Linked DNA regions of Struthio camelus. The protein of the gene in region 2 interacts with the protein of the main gene of each other region in a pairwise test. Links are inferred from orthologs where the notes say so. Each region holds a gene or a part of one and is shown on either strand. Other genes may lie near its edges.

Region 1 (5,786 bases), on a different chromosome or scaffold from region 2:
TGACGTCACCCCGCGCGCGCCGCCCCCTCCCGCGCGCGCGCTGACGTCACCCCGCGCGCCCCCGCCGGGCGACGGTTACACCCTTAACACCGCCCCCCCCCTCCCCTTTTATTCGGTTTTTTCGGGTTTTTTCCGGGTTTTTTCCCCCCCCCACCACCACCGCGCGTTATTTAATCAACGGTTCTGCCGCCGAGCTGCCGTTGGCCCGGGAACGGTGACCCCCCCCCCCCCCCCCGGTTCAGGCCCCTGAGAGGAAGACGCGGAGGCCGCGGTGGGGCCGCAGGCCGCCCGCCCGGCAGCGCCGGCGGAGCGCTCCCCTTTCGCCTTCCCTCCCTCCACAACCGAAGGACCCAGCCCTTTTTTTTTTCCCCCCCGCCCCGCCGGCGTGGCGGGTTTTGTGTTATTCGGCGCGTTTTACACCTTCCGCGACACCGCGGCTGACCGGCCTCCGCCGCCTCGGCCCTCGGCTCCCGTCGCGTTACCCGCAGGCGCCCTTCGGCCTCCCGCCCCCTCCCCAAAATCACAGCTTCCTCAGGTCCTCCGGCCCGAAGGAGAGCGGCAAAAGCTCCTCCAGGCTCTTGACGACGTAGGTGCCGTCGGGTTTGGTGAGGTACACGTCCCAGTCCCGGCCGAACTGCGGGGCGAGAAGAGGATCAACGGGCGCCCGGCGCCGCGGGAATCCCGCCAAGAGTCTTCCCGCGGGCCGGCGTGTGGGGGGTGGGGGGGGACACCGGGAAGGGCCGAGCCGGGGAGCGAAGAGGGGGGAGAAAAAAGCCCTTTACCTCCCGCATGACTTGTCTGCAGGCGCCGCAGGGCACGATGAAGTCGCCCTCGAGGTCGCTGCCGGAGAAGAGGAGGCAAAGCTGAGGGCGGCCGGCGAACCCCCCGGGGGGGGGGGGGCGAAGGCACCTGAAGAAACGCTCTTTCGGGCAGCCCCCTCCTTGTTTGTGTCCCCCCGCCGCCACCTCCTTGCTGCCCTCGACCAGGCGAACCCGCCGCGCGGCGCCTCACCTGGCGATGGCCATGGCCTTGAAGCTGGTGTGACCCTCGGAGACGGCTTTCTGGATGGCTGTGCGCTCGGCGCACACCCCCAGGCTGTGGCAGGCGTTTTCCACATTGCAGCCTAGGGGAAGGGCGCGCGCCGTCACCCCGGGGCTGCTGCCAGCCCCCGAGAGGACGCGGACCCCCCACCCACCCACTTCGCCGTTCACCCTGGCGGATGTTTCCCGGCTGTTGGCCCAAAGCTACAGGCGGGGCGCTTACCGGAGAAGACGTGGCCGCTGGCGGTGAGGAGCGCGGCGCCCACGGGGAAGCGGCTGTAGGGGCAGTAGGCGGCCGCCTTGGCCTCCCGGCTGCGCTGCAGCAGCAGCGCCCGGAGGCGCTCGGCCTCCGGCGAGGAGCCCCGCTCCATCGCTCCGCCGGCCCTGCGGTTAAATATTTCCCCGGCGGCGTGGCCCTCGTCCTCCCCCGCCGCGGGGCCGAGCCCGGAGGACGCCCCCGCGGGCGTGGGAAACGGGGCCGAGACCGCGCGAACGCCGCCGAGACCCGGCCCTTCCGCCCCTCGTTTTCCCCCCTGCGCCGCTTATTTCCCTTTCTTTTTTCTTTTCCCCCCTCCCTCTCTTTAGGCCCCGCGTTTCTAAAGGCTCCGGCGCCGTCCCGATGGGATCGGCAGAATATTTTCCATCACTGCTTTCTTTTTTTTTTTCTCCCCGGCAGCAAAGCTGTTTTATGACTCAATGGGAAAACGTCGTAAAATGTACTCGGGAGGGAAAACACCGGTTCCTCGGCAGCGAGATAAGACGATACGGTTGAAAGCAGGGAAAAAGCAAGAGAAATCAGCTTTTCCGGGCCTTGTAATGAAGAGTTAAAATTCCACGTTGAAGATCCGGATTGAAAACGTGTTTTTGCACTGAGATTTCGGCATCTGCCTGAGGCGGGGGGGCGCGGGAAGAATATGCTGCCGCCTGCAAGGCCGATGGAAAATAGGCGATTTAAAAGCCGGGAGCTTTCTTTAGCGAAGAAATCGAAGCTGAGCCGCTGGAAGAAATGCCACAAACTCCACGCGCTCGACGCCGGCTGCGTGCTCGCCCGCTGATTTAAGCGCGGGGAAGTCCCAAGCTTTTAGGAGCTCCGGTTTTCCCTGCCTGGGATGCGGGGAGAGTCGGACAAACCACCTTCCTCATGCAACATGTTATATCACCCGCCAGAGCTTTAGGGCTGCCAAGGCGCAGCGCGGGAGCGAATTGCCGGTGCAGGGGGTAAAGTGCGATTGCAGGGGGTAAAGTGCAGCTGCAGGGGATAAATTGCAGCTGCGAAGGGCAAATTGCAGCTGCGGGGGGAATATTGCAGCTGCAGGGGATGTATCGCGGTTGCAGGGGGCATATTGCAGTCGAGAGGGGTAAACTGCGGCCGCTGCGGGGAGCGACCCCCAACGCCGGGGCCGGCAGCTCTCGCTCCAGTTCGGCGCTGCTCGGTGCCCTCGCAGCTCCAGAAAGCCTGTTTGTGAGGGAAATAATCGGCTCAGAGGAGCAGGGCAGGAAAACGAGGGAGGAAGCAAACGCCAGGTCCCCGGAGAAGCCGAGCCGGCAGCGATCCCCGACGCTCGCCGCATTGACAGCGGGACCTGAATAACGCAGGAGCTATAAATAACCGGGCTGACAAACACCCCCAAACCCCCAAATCTGCATTCTTGCCCTAGAAATCCTGTCCCTGAAACCATCCTTTACGCTGAGAGCCGGGAAGCAAAGCAGCACAGAGCAAACCGCGTCCTTTGCTGGAAAACAAAACCAAAACACAACCGAATAAAGAGATCGAAAGAAAGGCTTGCATCTTTTATTATTTTGGTTGCCAGTGCTGCGGAGCTGCGCTGCACCAGCGCCGGCTCGAGGTCGTCGGAGAGAGGAGGGGTTGTCCGCCGCCGTCGGGTTTGCAGCACGCGCAGCGGCGTGGAGCGCCGGGGCGAAGAACCGCCGAGGAGGGGCGCGTTCGCTGCGCCGACGGGGGTCTCCCTGGGCGGCTCGGCGGCGGAGCCGACGCCGGAGCAAGCCTCGGATTCGGCAGGAGGCTAAAAGCTAAAATTTCCACCCAAGAGGGGCATCCTTGAAGGCCTGCAAATATGGCAAAAAAAAACAAAAAAAAACGGGGGTGGGGGGGAACTGAGTGAAAACCACCTGCGAGAAGGCAGCAGCGTTTGCAAGCCGGGCCGACGCGAGCGCCGCCGGGGGCGGCCGGCAGCAAACGCCTCGAGGAGCGCCCCGATTTGAAGAGAAAGCCTCGTCGCTGGCGCTAGGGCTGTGCGGGGCGAGCAGCTGCCGTGGTCCGAGCCTTCGGGGAAAAGGGGGGGAAAAAAATCACTGCCACCTCACTCCGCCCTTAATTTCCCCTGCGGGGAGCAGGGGGGGGGGGGGCTCCGCTCGGCGGGCTTGCCGGCGTGGCTAACGTTTGCCGAGGGCTCCCCGCGCGCTGCCTGATGCCGCGTCCCGGGGAGGTGGAGCAGCCCACGGAGGGCTGAGTCCCCGCTGCCGCCGCTCACGCAGCAGGAGCGGGCAGGCGAGCGGCTGCGCCTCGCTCCGCCGCCGGCTCCTCTGCGGCAGCTCAGCGGCTCCGCATCCCCCCGCGCCGAGGCCAGCGGCATCCTGCCGCAGCATCCGCCTCCCGCCGCGCTGGGGTAGGGAGCCGGCAGCGGGGGGGCGGCACCGCCGGGGGACCCCTCCGCGGCAGGTCAGCCTCCCAAAGCGGAGCGGGGCGGAGGGGCAGCTCGGCCGCGGGAGCATCACAGCGGCGTGGGAACGGTGAGACCCACGGGAGCATCGCGGCGGTGCGGGAACAGTGAGACCCGCGGGAGCATCGCGGCGGCGTGGGAACGGTGAGACCCGCGGGAGCATCGCGGCGGTGCGGGAACGGTGAGACCCGCGGGAGCATCGCGGCGGTGTGGGAACGGTGAGACCCGCGGGAGCATCGCGGCGGTGCGGGAACGGTGAGACCCGCGGGAGCATCGCGGCGGTGTGGGAACGGTGAGACCCGCGGGAGCATCGCGGCGGTGCGGGAACGGTGAGACCCGCGGGAGCATCGCGGCGGTGCGGGAACAGTGAGACCCGTGGGAGCATCGCGGCGGTGCGGGAACGGTGAGACCCGCGGGAGCATCGCGGCGGTGCGGGAACAGTGAGACCCGCGGGAGCATCGCGGCAGTGCGGGAACAGTGAGACCCGTGGGAGCATCGCGGCAGTGCGGGAACAGTGAGACCCGCGGGAGCATCGCGGCGGTGCGGGAACGGTGAGACCCGCGGGAGCATCACAGCAATGCGGGAACAGTGAGACCCGTGGGAGCATCGCGGCAGTGCGGGAACAGTGAGACCCGCGGGAGCATCGCGGCGGTGCGGGAACGGTGAGACCCGCGGGAGCATCGCGACGGTGCGGGAACAGTGAGACCCGCGGGAGCATCGCGGCGGTGCGGGAACGGTGAGACCCGTGGGAGCATCACAGCGGCGTGGGAACAGTGAGACCCGCGGGAGCATCGCGGCGGTGCGGGAACGGTGAGACCCGCGGGAGCATCGCGGCGGTGCGGGAACGGTGAGACCCGCGGGAGGACTGCGGTGAGGCGGAAACGCCGAGCCCCGCGGGCGGCAGAGGAGCCCTCGGCGCAGCCGCGATGCTGCCCTGGCGCCGCAGCAAGTTCGTGCTGGTGGAAGAGGAGCGCGAGGGCAAGGGGAAGAGCTTGGGCCCGGGGCTGGGCTACGGCTCGCTGCTGGCCGCCCTGGCGCGCGCCTGGCCCGGCGCGCTGGCCGAGTGCCCGCTGCGGCGCCTGGGCCGCCTCTTCGGGGGCAAGCGCCGGACGGCGGAGCTCAGCCGGGAGGCGCCCACGTACACCGTGCGCTACCTGGGCCACGCGGCCACGCTGCGGGCCAAGGGCGAGGGCTGCACCGACGAGGCCGTGGGCAAGATCTGGGCCAAGAGCGGCGGCGGCGCCAAGATGCGGCTGACGCTGGGGCCGCACGGCATCCGCCTGACGCCCTGCGAAGCCGGCGCCCGGCGCCCGGGCCAGTGCTACCTGCTGCGCCGCATCACCCACTGCGCCGCCGACGCTCGCCGGCCCGACCTCTTCGCCTGGGTCTACCGGCACCGGGCGAAGAACAAGGCGGTGGCGCTGCGCTGCCACGCGGCGCTGGCGCCCGAGGCCGGGGTGGCGGGCGCCGTGGCTCGCCTGCTGGCTCAGGCGGCGGCGGGCGCCCTGGCCGAGTTCGGGCGGCTGCAGCGGCAGAGCGACGGGCGGCACGGGCGGCAGCAGCGCCTGGGGGCCGCCGCCGTGCCCCCGGCCCCGCTGCGGCGCCTCCTCAAGGCGCCCCGTCCCTACGGCCCGCCGGCGGCCGAGCGGGGCCGCGGCGCCCCCGGCCTCGGCTCCATCCTGGAGGAGGAGGAGGAGGAGGAGGAGGAGGAGGAGGAGGGCGAGGAGGAGGAAGGCTCGGGCCGGCGGCGGGCCGACGTGCTGCGGCTGGCCGGCGAGCTGCGGGGCTGCAGCCTGCGGGGCGCCCTGCCGCCGGGGTGCTGAGCGCCCGCTGAACCCCCCCCCCAAAGGCCCTGGGGGTGGGATGGGGTTGAAACCCCCCTCTCTAAGGCCCTGGGGGGGTGGGATGGGGTTGAACCCCCCCCTCCAAAGGCCCTGGGGGTGGGATGGGGTTGAACCCCCCCCCAAAGACCCTGGGGGGTGGGATGGGGTTGAACCCCCCCCTCCAAAGGCCCTGGGGGGTGGGATAGGGTTGAACCCCCCCGCCCCAAAGCCCTGGGGGTGGG
Region 2 (7,888 bases):
TTGACAGAACAGGGAGATCCTTAGCCTGTCCTGGCCTTCAGCAGCTCCCAGTGCCTCTCCCTGCACCAGGAGGTGTCACGAGGCGCTAGACAGACAGTCATCCTCTTCTGCTGTGGCCCTCTCAGCTGCCGGGGGGGGGGGGGGGGGTCTCCTCCCACTGCTGGGCACCAGCAGTGCCCGCCTCTGAGGTGGGATGGGCAGTTGAGCTTCCCAGCCCTCACCACCGCCACAGCTCCAGGCTGCAAGCCCAGCTCACCTTGACCAAAGTGGAGTAGGAAATGGCCACGGAGCAGCTTGGGAAGCAGATGTTACCTCCAGCAGGCAGACGGGCAGCCAAGACCTTTCCAGCTGGTGCAGGGGGGAGCAGGAGAGACACGCATGGCCAGGGAATGAGCTTCAGGTAGCTCCAGCAAGAAGAGCGTGATGGAGAAAAACCTGGCAGCAAGCCCTGTGTGGTTCCCAGGATGGATGCCAGAAATGCCAGGTTTCCCTTGCTGATTTCTACATTGCAACTGCTCGTCGCCAACAACAAACCCTGCAGCATTCAATAATTTAAGCTTTTAAACTCCCATATGGAGATGGGGAAAGGGAGAGGAGAAGAGGAGGGGGGTTCTGAGGACAGCCCAACTTTGTTCTGAGCTTGCTGAAGCATATTTTGGGATTAACATGCTGCACGAGACACAGAGCCTTGACCACAAACCAGCTAAAAGCCCTTTAACAGATTTTACAAAGGGAGTGGTCTGGGAAAGTTTTAGAATGACAAAATGATGAAACTTTCTCCGGGAGCTGGAAAATACCAAAATATATGTATACTGTGTATTGAGAGTATGATTGTTGGTTGTGACTCATTAGCCACATTAGTTTCTATTACCTAGAATCTTCCATGAAATGTGTGTAGAGAGAAACATGGAAAGTTATCAACAAAAACTTATTTTCTATGTATTTTTTTCCTATCTTCTTCAGTCTTTTTGTTTTGGGTTCCATGCACACAACTGTACTAATCAAATGGAAATACTTCCAGTTTTTAGGACTAAAGCTGGAAAAAAAGTTACATTTTCCTGCAAAATTTTCATGTGAATTTTCTGCGTGTGAAATTTTCACATCTAAAATTTTTTTTGCCATTGGTGCGTGTGTATGTGTGTGAGTGTGTACATACTCCCTAGGAATATTCTAGTGGAAACATTTGAGTGCTGATCAGTTTACCTAGTTAACCAGAGCTGGGCACTTAAGGTTTTGTACTTGCAAATGATCTTCACAACAACACAAGCTTTTGGCTAACTAAGGGCCATCTAACCTAGAAAGAAAAATCTGTTCAAGTAGCCAACAGCAAAAAGGTAAAATGCTGAGAATGAAATATTTGCAAATGGTCCAGAGCTGAGAATTGTTCCCCTAAGAAATTTTGAAGAAATGTCAAATAATGAATCTGTTAAGTGCTTGCATTTTGCACTTTCAGGAAGTAAAATTAATCAGACTGCTAATTACAGTCATTTGCCTCACTGTAGTTAGGATCTTCACACGTGGGCTAGAAGCCATCTACTACAATGTCTAAAGGCCTTCTGGAGGATTAAAGTTAGGACAGGAAAGCACAGCTTTGTTTAGTTTTGTCTGCTTTTGTTGTGTGTGAATTTAATTTGCCTCTGCATTTTTCCTGATTATTTTACTTGGATGTGGTTTTTTTACTACTAGATTGTGGGGCTTTTTTTGCTCTCCTTAAGATAGTATCTTAAGTAGCACCCACTGTCAAGAAACCTCTGTGTCCCGTTGCACGAACATCCTACACTCTTGCATTTAAGGACTTGTTTAGTTCTAATGGAAATCATTTGCTTTGGGTGGTCCTCACTGCATACACTAATTTCCATCCAGCACTCTATAGGAAGCCAAGTGAACCCCAGTAAAACGCGCTCTCGGAAGCCAGCTCTGCCAAGCAAGCACGTTGCTGTGTTTGAACTAGAGTTTTGTTAAGATGAGCAGTTTGATTTATGGGCATATTGCTAGACATATTCCTGCAAGTCATAGATTGCTATCAGTAAACCCTAACCCATCAAGAAGGAGTGCAGTCTGCCAGGATATCATGCACAGAAGAACTATCTCATAGGGTCATGCTGTTTAGGCACCAAGAAATAACGAGGAGCCCACACAAAGCCAAATGGTTTGGAACATTTTGATAAAACAAATGCCAGAGCTCTTAACAGAGGGAAGTTGAGGTTCTCCAAAATAGTTTTCTTCCTCCCTAGCATTATTTTCAGTCTTATCTGGCTCAGATTCAGTAACTGATTTTCATCCAGTTACTATTTTAACTGGGCCCTGGAGACCTTCTCAGGCATCTTAGTTATTTTTAAATCCCCTGTGAAGGTAATGTAGAACTGAAGTACCGTAGGCATATTGCATACTGTCTATGCTTCAAATCTCTCCTGTACCACAGATGTTGAACTGGGCAGGAGAAAAGGTGGCTGCCTATGTAAACGTGCTGGATGTCAACAAGCCAGTTGCCATCAAAGCGCTGAGAGGAACGGCTGACGTTATTGCAGCATTATCTCACTAATCAGCCAGCCCACGAGAACATGGGCTGTGTGGGATTCACCAGCACACAGCTCTGAGGAGGTTTTCAGAAAAATCAAACTGGGCTTAGCCAATTCAGCAAGAAAATATAGAAAGTTTTCAGCAGTGGGAAGCCTTTCTTAAAATACTGAAGTTCTGAAAATTGGAAATGTCCATACATGATAGTGCTGAGTACCACACAATAATTACTAAAAATGTCATAGTGAAAATTCATCAGTTCCTATTTTGAGCTCTGTGCAGTGCTGAAACACTTACCCCTCCTTGTGGATCTGATGTAGGTATCTGTATGTTCTCACCGTGGTATCTGTCACCGGCAGTCTCTTGCTCTGTTGTACATACTGCTCTCCCCCCAGACAAAAAAAGGAAGCCATACCACCAGATATGGTCCCACCAGCTTGTCCAGCGAAGTAGAAGTGACCTTGTAGTTTTCTTCTGTTGCTGCCACTATGGAAAATATTAGTACCAGAACTGAAGCCACACTCACCCATTCTTCATTTCTGATTTCTCTTCTCTGAGCAGATAAGAATGACCTAGGGCCTCGGAGTGTGTTTTACATCAAAGACTGATGAAGAGTCCTGACAGCCTTGATGTCAGTGTTGTAAATAAACCATTAATCACACTGCCATTCCAGGGAACAACCTTTTCCCAAAGGGCATGAACCTTCTTCAGGCCACTAATATAAACCACATCTCCTCTAATCCAGTGGGGTAGTGGTAATGTCAGGGCTTTCAAGGTGGGCTGACTCTGTGTGAGGGGGATACTCCATTACTCTCATTTTAAAGCATAGGTCATTGCTATGGTTCCACTGGATTATAAATGGTCAATCAACAGAGAAGCAGTTACAGTGAATTAAATAAAGTGTATTACATTTGGAACTACAGAGGCAAATAGAAGGAGTAGAAGGCTCAGTGTCCTGTTAAAACTTTTTGCTTTAGAGTCAGGCACTGTATGTAAACCTAATGTGGAAGTATAAGAGAAACAATAGGTTCAGTGATCTGGCAAGTAACCAGAACAATGTGGTTATAGTAAACACTGCAGAGCCTAACACAGTGAATAAAAATGTGTCTATTATTAAAGGAGAACTTGATTTTTAAATGAATCCCAGGCCACTGCCTTGCCAGAAGTATTCTGAATATTATTACACACTACGGAGGGCTATAACTGACTCTTCAATTTGATCATCAGTGGAAATAAATTATTATTTATGTATACTTTTAAATATATTTTTGTTATATATACTTATATATACATATATATTAAAAAACCACCATATTTAGCATGATTTGGAAATACAGCTAAAAACAAAGTTGGTTCAGTCTGTGCTCCATAGCTGAACTGTTCAACCATCATAACTGCATTGCAAGCAGAAATCTGGTCTTCTGAAAGTGTAGCTTTTGCAATGGGAATTGCCTCATTCAGTATGGTCCTCTGTACCTCCCAGTGAAAAACAGCATAAAGGAGACGGTGGAAGTACAGCAAGGCTGGTTGCATCTTCCCGGCATTGGAGACTCCAGAGGGCCAGTGGTGAGTGCCAAAAGTTAATTCAAGGTAGCCCTAAATCAGGGAGATGGGGACTACTCTAAATCATGCCTTGAATTCCTGTCCTATGGTACACAGTGCTTAAAAAACACAAATTTTTTTTGATAAATTACAAAAAAAAATGGCCCCAAGAGCACGCTTGCCAGCTGGCCGTGGCCATTTTCACACACTGCCTCCACACCACAGCCTGGCATGGAGACTGCTAACGTAGCTTTCTGTTACCAGAGAAACCCCCCACTTTTCCTCCTGAGACTGAGTCTCTGGTTTAAGGCTGCTCAGTGTGGTTTATGCATTCAGTCCAGACAGCACAGTTTTGAAATTATGCTTATAAAAACGCTCCCGAGCAGAGAAGGTGACGGGTGGCTGTAAGCTGCTCTAACTTGTGTCTGTGGTCCTCTGGGAATGACCTCTGCTACACACACTGACAGGGGTTCATGTCGTCATCCAGACCTTAATCTACTTCACTGACGGTGCTAGTTTTAGGTCTTACAAGTGAAATGTAATATCCCACAGTTTGACTTTGCTAAGTACTCTGAAGTCAGACACTTCTGCTAACTCAAGTGGGCACTGAACTGAATCTGTATAAACAAGGCTACTGTCCAAGCGCAGACTCCTTACCAAGCACATTGCTCGCTGATCCATCCTGCACTACTTGCCAGGTACCACAAGCCAAGGTCTCATCTGTTCCACAAATACAGCTAATAAACTATTAAATCACAACTCTGCTGTGCTGGTTCTATTTAAAACACAGTTAGGACCAGGCCCACGGCCCTGCTAAAGCTGCGGGTGACCAGCAGTAGCCTTATAACCAAAGAAAACAGGGCGCGTAGGGGTGAGCGTGTTTGCATAAGCTTGACTGTAAAAGCCTGACTCCCTTGCCTGATGCTTTAACCAGAACCAGAAGATGATCCTGCTGATTTGGAATGGGGTTTTTGAAGAGAAAAATGAACTAAAGAAATGTTCTTCTCCATTGAGGCACAGACCAGCTGTGGAGGCCAAAATGCTGCTACTTAAAAATGTCTTTTGCAGACAAAGGGTCAGGATTTTCTAAGCTGGCCAAAGAATCACTTGCTATAACCACACTTTGGTCAGGATTCAACAACTAGATTCATGCCCAACAACCAGATTCATGACTTGGGCCTCCCACAGACATCCTTGGGGAAAGGGGGACTAGGTATGCCTCCTTTGACTTACATCAACAGAAGCTCAGCTGCGGTTTTCTAAGTCTCATGTCATGTTCTGCATGCTTTTGTGTTCAATACAATATTTATTTCAATTTAAAATCACAATTTTCTTTAAAATGCTTACTTCAAGGCTTTTCTGTGCACCAGCAATATCATATTTTGAGCTTGAACTTAATGTACAGGCCTACCTCCACTTCAGAAAAAATTATTTCTAAAAAGTCATAAATATCACTTTGATCCTTTTAAAGCAATGACAGTAAGTTGAATTACGGGCACAAAATATTGGATCTTTTCTATTTATAATTTCTTAAGGAATCTTTGAGTTGAAGAATGTAGTCCATAAAATAATGAAAGAAAATCTATACTTAAGATATATTGCTTCTAATCAAGCGACTAGAAGGCTTGAACTGAATTTATACTAAGTAAAAATACCTAACTGAGGTTCCCAATGTACAAGTTAACGCTATTCTGACAGCCAGGGACAGTGAAAGAGGATTAGCTCTGTCACTTTCTATATTTGACAGAAAAAAAAGTTTTGAAACATACATTTGAGCCAGACAGAAGATACCCAGGAGGTCTCAAGAAGTAGAGGTGTGCACACCTTAGTACTTCTACTGAACCAGACTGAGGTTTATGCAGGCATTTCCATAGTCGCCAACTAATTAAACCAATCTATTGGTAAAAAGGGATCCAGGAACTACACGTGTGGACTATGCGCAGCTGGACTCAGCCACAGCCTGGTTTCTCTCTTGCCACATCACTGCACGGACTGCCTGTGCCGCGTTTCCATCCGCACCACTCTGCTAAGGTTCACAGGCCGTGCTACCACCCCTCCCTTACCATGCCGCAGCTTTTTGCTTCCCAGGATCCTGCCACCACTTTTCAGAGAGGTGCCAGTGTGGGTCTGCGAGAAAGGGGTGGCCAAGGGACTTCCACTGGGTCTGCTGCTCCGAGACACTCCTGCCCATCCGTCTGGACTGCTCGGCCTCAGTAATGCATCGTAAGCCTGCCTGGAGCCGGCCAGGCAAGGGAAGTGCCTGCAATTCCCTGCTCCCTTTTACTGCTCCCTCCCCTGAAGACAGTGCAACAATTAGGCATAGGAAAAACAGGCAGCAGGACCTACTGCTGACCTCCCGCTGCTACCAGCAGCCCGCTGCTCCCTGCACCGTGTCTAAACCAGCCCTGACAACACACTCATCTTTCCTTTCCAAGGTGCCATGCGGGGTCCGGAGCCCTGAAATAGCCAAAAATTTCAGGGGCTATTTCAGATGATTCAGGTGTCGGTGGTCACCAGCAAGGCTCCGCAGCTCCTACCAGCGAAGAGAACGGTGAATGCCTGTAAACAAATGAATATTTTTTAGTGTTAACTCTAGCTGCCTCCGTCTGGTGTGTATTCTACAGTGTGTCAGGAAAGGGTTTTTTTCCTAAACAAGAGGAAAACTAAATACAAGTAATTAATTTTGGTGCCGTTAAAACATAACAGACATCTGTTTTGTAGCGGTGGAAAGGAGACTTAGCATTAAGTACAGTTCATATTACCTCATGAAAAGGACATGGTACAAGACATGCAAACGTGTTTCTCAAAATTACAATCTAATGCGATTTGGCGAATCTACCTTCTGCAAAAAGTAGTCAAACACTTCTCTTTAAGGTATATCAGTAGGGTAAAGCCTCACTTGCAGGTACACAGGATTAAAGCCCAAGTCTGTAAAACTTCAGGGGTACAAAAGAAGAATTTGAACATGATTACTGAGGGTTTTCTGATGTTTGCAAATGTAACACAGTCCTTTAACTTTACTGACAGACGTAACTGTTCCAGGAATCAGAAACTGCTACTGTATTATTAGTAAATAAAAACCTCTTGAAAATGCCTAAAAGCAAAATGCAACCGTTTTCTGTACCATGGTATGTTAGCAGAAACAGCAATCATTCCTTTCAAACGGGACCTTTGTTAGCTGAAACACGGACCCTCTCCTTGCAACTCTCTCTTTCTCATGCAGCTCTACATTTTATATTCAAGAATGAACCTATTTAAAATTAATTAAGTCACTTTTTTGCATCTATTTCTGTAAGTGCTGCTGGCCATTGCATTGTTGTAACACACCATCAGGGAAACGGCCAGCAGGAACAAGAGTTCTGCAAACTGACAAGACAAGCAACTTTTATTAAATGCTAACTGTCAACTTTTGTTCTTTAGATAAATGCTTTGAGTTAGGAGGGTCAGAGAGAGGGAGAAGGTGTCAGCAGACATATTGGAAGGCCTCTGGGACTTTTCAGAAGATTTATAAGTTGACTTTTGTTTAACTGTTTGGTTTTTAAGGATTTTGGTTTCTTTGAGGTACTCCAACCAGAGCTGACATACCTTCTAATTTTGCTGTATGCTGACTGTGCAAGTTTAATAAAAACACTGCAAATTTTCACTGTTCTCAGTGATTTAGCAGGAAACCTCAATAATCTTATAGGTAAAATGACCTAGAAGTAGCCTTTGATCTGCAGCCCATGCATGCATCATGAGAACACAGAAACAAAGTTAGTGCCAAGTGCTGCGACAAATAGACATGGTTTTTTGAGTCACCAGGCTGAAGCTCATTTTGTTGTAACAAAAT

Evidence for each region.
Region 1: the proteins of LNX1 (region 2) and CDA interact in binary tests that used the Homo sapiens proteins (3 or more experiments, as listed by UniProt). The two-hybrid records come from large-scale screens. The link is inferred for Struthio camelus from reciprocal best matches to the Homo sapiens genes LNX1 and CDA.

Annotation. Positions count from the first base shown.
Region 1 is NC_090962.1:12,711,705-12,717,490, forward strand, and holds CDA (cytidine deaminase), read right to left. Parts: upstream 1,721-5,786; 5' UTR 1,412-1,720; coding exon 1,264-1,411; exon of another isoform or gene 1,124-1,263; coding exon 1,012-1,123; exon of another isoform or gene 841-1,011; coding exon 654-840; 3' UTR 635-653; downstream 1-634. Other genes in the region: protein FAM43B, read left to right, coding at 4,648-5,544. UniProt on the Homo sapiens protein: This enzyme scavenges exogenous and endogenous cytidine and 2'-deoxycytidine for UMP synthesis.
Region 2 is NC_090945.1:57,111,254-57,119,141, reverse strand, and holds the start of LNX1 (E3 ubiquitin-protein ligase LNX), read right to left. Parts: upstream 3,058-7,888; 5' UTR 2,815-3,057; intron 1-2,814.